Arabidopsis thaliana: one gene and its partner. The protein of the gene in region 1 interacts with the protein of each later gene in a pairwise test. Each region holds a gene or a part of one and is shown on either strand. Other genes may lie near its edges. The genes, in order: AT1G07650 and AT1G54540.

Region 1 (8,039 bases):
CAAATTGACCCAAAAAAGGGAGCAAAAAGCTCACGTGGCAGCAAGTACCCTACACACGAAGGTGCATGTTGTCGACCACGTGTTGAGCTCACCGTAAAGAGAGATCCTATGTGAGGTTTGATGATGAGCATTTCCAAGGATTTCATCGGATCGAAATCAGAATCATAAGACTGGGAAAAAATGGCAGCTAATATGATGAGACCGGCGTTTGCTTACACTGTTGTGTACGTGAAGGACGTAGCTAAATCTGTAGAATTCTACTCTAGAGCTTTTGGTCACAACGTCCGTCGTCTTGACGAATCCCACAGGTTTGTATTATGAATTGTTACTATTCTCTACGTTGGATTGTCTTAGGTGTTGTTGGATACGATCATAGGAATGTAAACGACAGAATCGTATTAGGTCATGAAACAAAACTCTCGGGTTTGAGATTCTATTGGTGCGATGTCCTATAATCAGGTCCGATCCGCTGGCTAACATGCTAAGCAAACACACCAAATATATATGTTTGATGAATGAAAGAAACTGATACATACAGGTGGGGGGAGCTAGAGAGCGGGCAAACCACGATAGCGTTCACACCGCTTCACCAGCATGAGACCGACGACCTAACCGGGAAGGTTCAGGCTACGCAGTCAGCACGTGAAAGAGCACCCATCGAAGTCTGCTTCTGTTACCCTGATGTTGATGCCGCTTTCAAGGTAGAAATCAATTATTATATACTTATGTCTATATTTGCCTGTTACTCTTCAATTCGTACGTGTTGATAAACCAGTGAGATGCTGCGTTGTGCAGAGAGCGGTGGAGAACGGTGCGGAGGCAGTGAGCAAGCCGGAAGATAAAGAATGGGGGCAGAAGGTTGGATACGTGCGAGACATTGACGGCATTGTTGTACGCATCGGAAGCCACGTTAAGTGAATTCAAAATAAAGACTCGTAAAATATGATCATTAACTAGTCTATATACATATGAATAAATATTACAAGATACTTTGGTACCTTTGTTAATTATGGTTGATGTCTTGATGAATATATTTACTTAAAGCAACATGTAAAGTAAAAAGATATACAAAGTGTCCAGCCTAGTCCCCACACTCCCCTCTCTCAATTCGTTTTTTCTTTGTTAGTATCGTTACACAAAGTAGGAAACGATGTTATGATCAAAATCATAATAGTTGGATTTTTCTCCTATCCTAGTTATCTTAAACATTTATCAAATGATTCCGCGACCCAACAAAATAACAAACGAAAGAGAGTGTAAAGTTCCTTTTACCTTTTTTCTTTTTATCTTTTGTCGTAGTCGTAGTTTCGTATGTTTGTGAGTACTTTGGCTTTCCAAATTAATACGACTGGCTGTCTATCAAAGTAGCTAAACCAATAATGTAAAGATCTGTCGTATGTGGTCTTTGAAACCCAAATCAATTGTTTGTTTTATAACAATAATTGATTCTTGATTTTTGTCAAATAGAACTTATCAACAATAATTGATGAGACTCGATTATCCGCTGAAAATATTTTTATAATTATTTTAGGAGGAAGGTATCATATATATACTACTTTTCATTGTTTGCCGGCTAAATAATTTTAGGAATTGCTGACACTTAGTATAAAACATTGAACATAAGATAAGAAACTTGTTTAATATTTAAAATTCTTTACTTCCTATTTCTTAATATAATACAGAAATATTTGTATCTTTTTAACAACCAAATAAATCTTTAACCAAAACATAGACTAGTACTCTTAAAGCAAAACATAGACTAATCTCATACAAGGACTAATCCCAAAATCGCTTGGGGATATAATTTCTGAAGGGTCTCTGTCAAACCTTAAGAAAAGATATTTAAAAGTAGCACTGGGTCCTGATATAATATACATAATGTTTACATTACAGTATTACACACACACATATTAGAATGGGCTGAAGACCAAAATAGTTAAGAGAACATGACAAAGTACAGCAAACCTTATTAAATCCTGACGACTAAAGTGGTCAATAAGCTCTAGCTTCTCATCCATCACCACTTCCTAAATGTTTCTCTCTCTATATCTCTTGCAAGCTTTCTCGCAGAAGTGATACCATATTTTATTATTTTGTATAGAAAAAATGATATATTTACATCGCATATATTTCATCATCGTCCTCTTCACACTAATTTTCCATGGGCGTCTTGGTTTTTCCGACAACAATAAACTTCACGAGGCCGAAGGTACTACTATAAAGATTCTTCCTCTAGTCCTGTCTCTCGTCTGTATATGTGTGTGCATCTCTATGATTTGCAAATCAAAGCACTTTTTTTATCTTTGATGATGATGGTTGTTTGGTATGGTTTGAAATTGGGAAGTGAGGGCATTAAAGGAGATAGGGAAGAAGCTAGGGAAGAAAGATTGGGACTTCAACAAAGATCCATGTAGTGGTGAAGGCACTTGGATTGTAACAACTTACACAACCAAAGGGTTTGAGAGTAATATCACTTGTGATTGCTCCTTTCTTCCTCAAAACTCTTCTTGCCACGTCATTAGAATGTAAGTTTCTTCTTCTTCATCCTCCTTCCCTTTCTTATCTTCCTCTTTAATTTTACCCATTTATGGAAATTACAAATATCTTTAGCGTGTCGGTGCCAAGTCACGAATATTGGATTTCACAGTCTGTAAAACAAGTGTACGTAATACAAGTATGGAGAATTTCACAGTTTTTATTTTTCGGTTTGTTTGTGCTAAAAATAATTTCACAGGTTAGAATTCCTTTTTATTTTCATGGAATATGTTTAGCATTAATTAGTTTAAGCTAAAAGAGGGGAATTTTAGGGTAACAGAGTAGTGGCTAGTTTAATGATGGTGACAATGAAGGGGAAAACCACTAAATTCCTTGGTGAAGGTTGGTTGCAATATTGACTGCACAACTCACACTTTAATGACAACCACTAACTATATGCCTACAACGTCACGTTCTCTTTTATATAGTACTAAAACTTATTCTACTGTACTTATATAATCCCTTGTTGATAGTTTTACTATCTTACTATTTCTTTTTTATGACAGCACCATCTTACTAATTAACGTTTTGTATTAAAGGTAAATAGTAAACGATAATTTGAAGCATCGGTTTTAAGATAACTAATAAAGTAATGAGTGTAACTAAGAGTTAGGTGGATGTAAATTCACATGTGAAGTAAGATTAAAAAGCTTTAAGTTTGATTTGTCTCTTTGTGACGACAAGTTTATACTTGCCAGGCTGGTCGTTGACCCGTTGACCAAAGTAAACGATTCAATAGATAATAGCGCGTTTACTTTCGCTCTATTCCATAACTAGACTTTATATAAATCGCCAGATAAAAAACTATGATTTACATAATTCAAAAAACATTTAGTGTTAGTAAAAATTAGTTATATATTTGTGTCTCTTTAGACTGTTTGATCATTTTTTAAAATCATAATTCTTTTTAAAAAATTGTCATCAAAATCGTAACAAGTTTATGATCCAAAATAATATAAGAACAACCATGATCTGTAATTCTGTATTATCAAACAGTAACACTACTGTAAATTTGTTTCATTTTGAGATGATGAAAAATCAGAAATTATTTTTCTAGTACAAATTTCAGTTTTAAGAAGAATAAAACAAATTTCATACCGATGCGACAATTACTTTACCAGTCCATTAAATATTGTTTTAATTTGTTTCCCTAGCTTATGCTTAAGTATATTACAATATTTGTCCCCGTTGTTCTTGAGAAGTTTATCTTCCACCCCAAAACTTCTAGTTCTGTAAAAGAAGACCTAATCAGAATCAAACTGTCAAAAAGTAACAATTTTAATAGTGGCAATTTGGTTGGCAGAGCTCTGAAGTCGCAGAACTTAACAGGCATTGTCCCTCCAGAATTCTCTAAGCTTCGTCACCTTAAAGTTTTGTAAGTGATCAATCAGAAAGACTTGAGCTTTTTCATTCTTTCTCAAAGTTTTAACTTTAGAAATTGGTTCTCAACGCATACAACAATTTTGGTGCAGAGACCTAAGCCGTAACTCTCTGACTGGTTCCATTCCAAAGGAATGGGCTTCTATGCGCTTGGAAGATTTGTAAGTATCTCTTCTACTTTGCTTCTCTAATGAAATCAAATCCAATCAAAATCTTATCTTTGTTGGTTTTGATGTACATTACACAGATCTTTCATGGGGAACCGATTGTCTGGTCCGTTTCCGAAAGTCCTGACCCGCCTTACAATGCTCAGAAACTTGTATGTTGTTGTTAACTCCTTTACTCTTGTTTTGGTTCATGAATTCTATTAGAGCCTTATGTTTGGATTATAACTGTAGAGTTTCCTAGTAGATTTATGTATATGTGTGTTGATCATCTGAAATTATGCAGGAGCCTAGAAGGAAATCAGTTTTCAGGACCAATCCCTCCTGATATTGGACAGTTGGTTCATTTGGAGAAACTGTAACTTTCTTTTATCTATCTCTTTTGTGGCTATCTATTGTATCTATAGACATTGAACAATCTGGTGATGGTCTAGTCACTAACAAACTAGCATCACTAGAAATCTCAAGTCTTTTGGTTTCTTAGTTAATATCTTATATCCTCTTCTCTGTTTTTGCTTCAGTCATCTCCCTTCAAATGCTTTCACTGGTCCATTGACTGAAAAACTTGGATTGCTCAAGAACCTGACTGATATGTAAGAGAATTTAGTCTGACATGTTTTGATATGACAAACATAAAATTTAGTCTTTGTTGGAGAATTCTTTAATTATTGTATTTGTGGGGTGTCAGGAGGATAAGTGATAATAATTTCACTGGACCAATACCAGATTTCATCAGCAATTGGACAAGAATACTGAAACTGTACGATCTATTCTTTCTCCATAAGAGTACTCGCATGTTCCCAAGAAAAGACATATGAACCAAAAAAATGTTTTGCAGGCAGATGCATGGTTGCGGTTTGGATGGTCCGATACCTTCCAGTATTTCTAGCTTAACAAGCTTGACCGACCTGTAAGCCTTTAAAAAACTTCTTTTCAAATCATCTCCTTGTCAAACAATGACACACGAGACATTATCATATAATTTTTTTTTCTTTGGTGGGTTGTGATTGATAGGAGAATTAGCGACTTAGGAGGCAAACCGTCTTCCTTCCCCCCACTGAAGAATTTGGAATCTATCAAGACGCTGTGAGTTAATATACAATATGTATGTTGTGTTTGCGATACAGGCTTGCTAGAAAACGTTTTTAACCAATCTCAAATGCAGGATACTGAGAAAATGCAAAATAATTGGCCCAATTCCAAAATATATTGGGGACTTGAAGAAGCTCAAAACACTGTAAGTCATGTATATACATTGAGCAAAGAAGAGCTTTAAAAATGCTTTATATTTCCATGAGATGAACTCTGTATGGTATTTATGTTTACTGTGTACTGTGTAGTGACCTCAGTTTTAATCTCCTAAGTGGTGAGATTCCTTCATCGTTTGAAAATATGAAGAAAGCCGATTTCATGTAAGTATGTATGGTATTTAGTTATATTTTTCCCAATCGTGAAAGTTTTTCTGAGTCTTTTCTATCAGTTATTTGACAGGAAACAAATTGACAGGAGGGGTTCCAAACTACTTTGTCGAAAGAAATAAAAATGTGTACGAATACATGCCTCTGTTAACTTTTAAACGTACCAACTTTAATAGATTTAATAAACTGTATTTGTTTTTCTTGATGTGCAGAGATGTTTCTTTTAATAACTTCACCGATGAAAGTTCAATTCCTAGCCATGACTGTAACCGAGTTACTTCGTAAGTTTATTCATTGTACTCTTATATTTCAGAACACTATGTTCATACCCTGGCTGAAACAACAATTTTGTGCTTCTATTTTCTAGAAATTTGGTGGAAAGCTTCGCCTTGGGGAACAAATCGTAAGAAACCAGCTCTCTGTACAAAAACGACTCATCATAGAAAACTGATTTATGCTCATGACTTCGTAGTGGTCTTTTAAATCTTGTCCTTTCAGTTATGATTAGTGAACTGAACCGAAAACGGTCTGTATTTTCCCTCTGTCTTTGATGTTACAGACACAAGGGTTCAACCTGTTTTCTTCAACGCATGCCTTGTGTTCATCCTAAGAGATATCGTAAGCAACAATAAAGCTTGTCTTGTTTTCATCATATTCTAGTACTAGCTATTAAAACTTAAATAAATGTGAAGCAAATCCTTGTTCTTGATTAAAAAATTGAAACCTTCTTGTAGATTTATATAAATTGTACATAAATTGCGGAGGAGGTGAAGTAAAAGTGGATAAAGAAATAACATATCAGGCTGATGACGAACCCAAAGGTGCTTCTATGTACGTCCTTGGCGCTAACAAGCGCTGGGCGTTGAGCAGCACCGGGAACTTCATGGACAATGATGACGATGCTGATGAGTATACTGTGCAGAACACATCCAGGTTATCAGTTAATGCTTCCTCTCCCAGCTTTGGACTTTATAGGACAGCTCGAGTCTCTCCTTTATCGTTGACTTACTACGGAATCTGTCTTGGAAATGGGAACTACACTGTGAATCTCCACTTTGCTGAGATCATCTTTACCGATGACAATACATTATACAGTCTCGGCAAACGTTTGTTTGATATTTATGTTCAGGTACGTCTATGCAGTCAATATTCTTTTACTTACTCTGTAGAAAAATATAAATCAGAACATAATATATTCTTGCATGTTTATCTGCTCACAGGATCAGTTGGTGATTAAAAACTTTAACATTCAAGAAGCTGCTCGAGGATCAGGTAAGCCAATCATTAAATCGTTTCTGGTAAATGTAACGGACCATACTCTGAAGATTGGTTTGCGATGGGCTGGCAAAGGGACAACAGGCATTCCGATTAGAGGGGTATATGGTCCTATGATTTCAGCTATATCTGTGGAACCCAGTAAGTTTTTGTTTTTACTCAAAAGTGTTTGCTCTTTTATATAAATCATTTGTAACCTCTTTGTCAGATTGATGACCGTATTTTCTTGTGGCAGATTTCAAACCTCCGGTATATTATGACACAAAGGATATCATACTAAAAGTGGGGGTACCTGTCGCTGCAGCAACACTTCTTTTGTTTATCATAGTGGGTGTATTCTGGAAAAAAAGGCGTGACAAAAATGATATTGACAAAGGTATAAGGTTTAGTTTTCTTATGATGTTGTAATGTTTTTGAATCTTATGTAACTTCTTATGTATTCTGGTGCCTAAATGTCAAATTTTTTATGAATGAACAGAGCTAAGGGGTCTAGATCTTCAAACTGGAACTTTTACTCTACGGCAGATAAAAGCAGCCACTGATAATTTCGATGTAACAAGAAAGATTGGTGAAGGTGGATTTGGCTCTGTTTACAAGGTAATTCACTTGAATTCTGCGACATTGTTAGCTCTATACGAAATTGTTTACAGAAGATGTGTACACATTTTGGAAGAATATTGAGAAAGTGGTCCTTCTCTTGGTGCAGGGTGAATTATCTGAGGGGAAATTAATTGCAGTTAAACAACTGTCTGCAAAATCGAGGCAGGGAAATCGCGAGTTTGTAAATGAGATAGGAATGATCTCAGCTCTTCAACATCCGAATCTTGTGAAGCTATATGGATGTTGTGTTGAAGGAAACCAATTGATATTGGTGTATGAGTACTTGGAGAACAACTGTCTATCTCGAGCGTTATTTGGTATGTTGTTTCTCTCGAATTTGCATCTGCGGAATTATCCGGTGGAATTACTGCTCAGAATCTTTGTGTGGGTGATCTTCTTTTGTAGGAAAGGATGAGAGTTCTAGACTGAAACTAGACTGGTCAACAAGGAAGAAGATTTTTTTGGGGATAGCCAAGGGACTGACATTTCTCCATGAAGAATCTAGGATAAAGATTGTACACAGAGATATAAAGGCAAGCAATGTGTTACTCGATAAGGATCTCAACGCTAAAATTTCTGACTTTGGTTTGGCAAAGCTGAATGATGATGGAAACACACACATCAGCACTCGTATTGCAGGAACTATGTAAGGCTCTTTCTCTTTTTA
Region 2 (3,559 bases), about 18 Mb from region 1:
CAGCATAGGCAAACGTGGTCCCTTTCGACCAAAAAAGTAAGTATTTCCCTTCAAAGACACGCTATTGTGACTAAACAGTTCATGCCAATCTATATCAATATCAAGAACCCTCCATGAATCAGAGCTAAAATCGTAAACATCAATAATGACGTTTCTTGGACTCCCCTCATAAAGAAACCTCAAAATTTTGTGGTTACGGTTGTTGTCGTATCCAAGAGCAAACTTGTCATATCTGTGGAGTTTTTTTCTTGGTTGAATCAATTTCGTCTGCCCTAAATACGGATTCCATACCATAACACTCGAGTTGTCTTTGGCGATGCATAACAATAAGCCATCACAGTGATAGACTTGAGATATCTCGACTTGATCAACTTTATTAGGTATACTTATTTGCTTTATAGATAGATCAATCAAATCTTCTTCGCTACGGATTCCTTGAAGATCTAATCTCAAAGAACAAACCCTAGAATCTGTAACCATGAACTCCAAGAACTGATTCTTTGCTGCTGCTTTTTTACCTAAGATGTCATATTTCGATATAGCGTTCCACTTTTTACAAGTAGATCTCACTGCTCTTAGAGATGTCAATGGAACCCTAGAAAATATTTCTCTTACCAAATCATCCGGTAGATCGGTTACTGTCGCCATTCTTCCTCCAAGTTTTCAGCTTTCTCCACAAGTTTAATGTCTCATTGACCTATTCGGTACCCTAATATGTTTGTATATGTGTTTTGGTTGGGCTTGTAATAAAGTTTTGCTTTGGCACAGATTTTTTAAATGGGCCTATTATTTGGAAAAAAATAAACCATCGAATCCTTAACTATATCATATGGTAAAATTACGAAATCGTTTAGCAACTGATTTTCAGTTTTACTTAAAAACTACGAAGCTCTTGATTTAGTTCGTAGAGTGCACCACCACATATTTAGTAATCTCTTTATAGATCAGATGATATGTGACTAACATAAATTTCCAGAGTAGATGAGTGATGACTATATATTAATTGGGAAACTTTGACATCTATCACTTTTACGATTCCATTTCTCAAAATAAACTACTAAAGACTTTTTTTTTAAAAGGATGCAAAAGAATCCTAAGATAGAGTGTTTTGAGAAGTCTATTAGCCCATGGAACTAGAGTTTTAGCTAGCAAAAGCATATAAATTTATGGTTAGAACATCCATGGAAGGTAACTTTGTTTGAGAGTTGTCCTCTCAAAACAACTCTCTTCCTTCATCTTAATAAGAGTATCAATTTCGAATCATAGTGTTCTTGGTGACAACGAAGTAATATTTTCTCTATCAGTACCCTTGCATCATAAAGTTTTAATAATCTATCTAAGTTCTTAGTTTCTATCTTAATAAGTTTGAATCTTTCTTCTTTTGAGATTGCTTACAAAAAAATCATTCAAGAATCAATTTATAAAACCTTATATAACTTTATAAATATTTTCTATAAAATGTATTTAAAGAAATTATAAATCCTTTTGTGGTGTTTTTGAAAAAAAAAATTAGTGATAGTTATGAAATGTATCATAAAAATTGTAGTTTTCAAATTCTTCCTCAAGAATTTGATTATACGGGTTGTTGCTGAACATAGAGATGAACAAAAAGAAGATATGTGTTGAAAACATTGGAATGTTGCCAAAGTCGTCATCCTAACTAAACCAATATACCGAATGATTTATTGTTTTTGTTTTATTATCGAATTAAATACAAAAAGATTACTGTAACTGTTGAACAACCTCTAGTCTTTCTAATATATTCTGATTAATTCAACGTTATAGGTGAGGAAGGTAAGATGTTGGTAAAAGTCATGCATGGAAACAACTTCACAAGACAAAACTTTGATATAAAATAAAGTACATATAATACATGTTGGTGCATTAGTATTACTAAATACAAAGTTGTAGATCCATGGGAGATCAACAAAAAATTCACCCGGTTCTTCAAATGGAAGCCAACAAGACGAAGACAACAACACCAGCTCCCGGAAAGACAGTCTTGCTTCCGGTTCAACGGCCGATTCCGCCTCCTGTTATTCCTAGTAAGAATCGAAATATGTGCTGCAAAATCTTTTGTTGGGTGTTAAGCCTTCTAGTCATTGCATTGATCGCGTTAGCAATTGCGGTTGCGGTTGTATACTTTGTTTTCCACCCTAAACTCCCGAGTTACGAAGTCAACAGTTTACGAGTTACCAACCTTGGAATCAATCTAGACCTCTCTCTTTCCGCGGAGTTTAAAGTCGAGATCACAGCTCGTAATCCCAACGAAAAGATTGGGATTTATTACGAGAAAGGAGGTCATATCGGTGTGTGGTACGACAAGACAAAGCTATGTGAAGGCCCTATACCGAGGTTTTATCAAGGACATCGCAATGTAACTAAACTAAATGTGGCTCTAACGGGAAGAGCGCAATATGGGAACACTGTCTTGGCGGCATTGCAGCAGCAACAACAAACAGGACGTGTACCGTTAGATCTTAAAGTGAATGCACCTGTCGCCATCAAACTCGGAAATCTGAAGATGAAGAAGATTCGGATATTGGGGAGTTGTAAGCTTGTTGTTGATAGTTTATCAACGAACAATAATATCAACATCAAAGCTAGTGATTGCAGTTTTAAGGCCAAACTCTGAGATGTTCTTAGATCTAGGCGCTTTTACTTTTTATTGGTGTTAATTACTCAATTCATCATTTTCTTATGCATTTGATTCATATTTTGGATTAATGGTTTTATTCTCAATAAAAGATTGATTTTTATTTTTTAAATTACGAGAGATTTTTGAAATTTCAAAATATTGCAAATGAATGGTTCTTTTCCGCTTAACATAATTTCTATGAAGTAGTCGGAACGAGACTCTCTTCTAGAGAGAGAGAGAGTCATTCAGGAACCGACGTGCTTACATGGGAAAAAAACCTATTGCGATCTCATGTCTTTTTCCAAGGCAATCGATCCGCACATTAAAACGACGAGAAAGAAAATTAATACTAGAAGAGGGAAAAAAACATACAAGGGAACCAAATGTCGTCATCTCAACTACAAATGTTGGCTACACTGAAAGTTTTTCAATAGAGATAAGATCTTCACGGTCGAAAGCAAAAGAGCAACTCGTAACACCTATCGAGATTATAAATTCTATTGCCCATAGCATGGAATCAACTTCAGCATGAATGGTTTGGTAGTGTGAATCACATCTATACTATTTTTTCAATGGTAAAACTTTCGAAAATTACAATAGAATTGAAATATAAAATTTCGAGAAAATTCAAACGATCTCGAGTTTAATTCATCCCAAGTAAAAAAAGAAGTAAAAATCGAAGAAATTACAATGTAATCATTATCAATTAACAACATTAATTCATGTATATAAAATTCAAACATAACCAAATTATAAATCAAATTTTCCCAAAAGAAAAATAAAAAGCTCTAAATGCTTTAAAAAATCTCATCACTTGCCTTGTTTAGATTCATGAAGAACAGCTTTCATAATCAATCCATCATTATGCACAACCATAATCACCGGCGAGTTTCCGATACCTCTCGCCATCGCCGTCAAAAT

What was found.
Region 2: the proteins of AT1G07650 (region 1) and AT1G54540 interact in a protein complementation assay, tested with the Arabidopsis thaliana proteins (one large-scale study listed by BioGRID).

What each region holds. Positions count from the first base shown.
Region 1 is NC_003070.9:2,360,491-2,368,529, reverse strand, and holds the start of AT1G07650 (Leucine-rich repeat transmembrane protein kinase), read left to right. Parts: upstream 1-1,920; 5' UTR 1,921-2,106; coding exon 2,107-2,209; intron 2,210-2,344; coding exon 2,345-2,525; intron 2,526-3,820; coding exon 3,821-3,910; intron 3,911-4,007; coding exon 4,008-4,076; intron 4,077-4,162; coding exon 4,163-4,234; intron 4,235-4,365; coding exon 4,366-4,437; intron 4,438-4,562; exon of another isoform or gene 4,563-4,600; coding exon 4,601-4,672; intron 4,673-4,767; coding exon 4,768-4,839; intron 4,840-4,917; coding exon 4,918-4,989; intron 4,990-5,093; coding exon 5,094-5,165; intron 5,166-5,244; coding exon 5,245-5,316; intron 5,317-5,419; coding exon 5,420-5,491; intron 5,492-5,559; coding exon 5,560-5,625; intron 5,626-5,709; coding exon 5,710-5,778; intron 5,779-5,864; coding exon 5,865-5,900; intron 5,901-6,056; coding exon 6,057-6,115; intron 6,116-6,231; coding exon 6,232-6,626; intron 6,627-6,717; coding exon 6,718-6,913; intron 6,914-7,007; coding exon 7,008-7,148; and 7 more. Other genes in the region: DSI-1VOC (dessication-induced 1VOC superfamily protein), read left to right, coding at 181-308, 539-701, 796-918.
Region 2 is NC_003070.9:20,366,778-20,370,336, reverse strand, and holds AT1G54540 (Late embryogenesis abundant (LEA) hydroxyproline-rich glycoprotein family), read left to right. Parts: upstream 1-1,825; 5' UTR 1,826-1,915; coding exon 1,916-2,635; 3' UTR 2,636-2,784; downstream 2,785-3,559. Other genes in the region: AT1G54550 (F-box and associated interaction domains-containing protein), read right to left, coding at 1-648; AT1G54530 (Calcium-binding EF hand family protein), read right to left, coding at 3,449-3,559.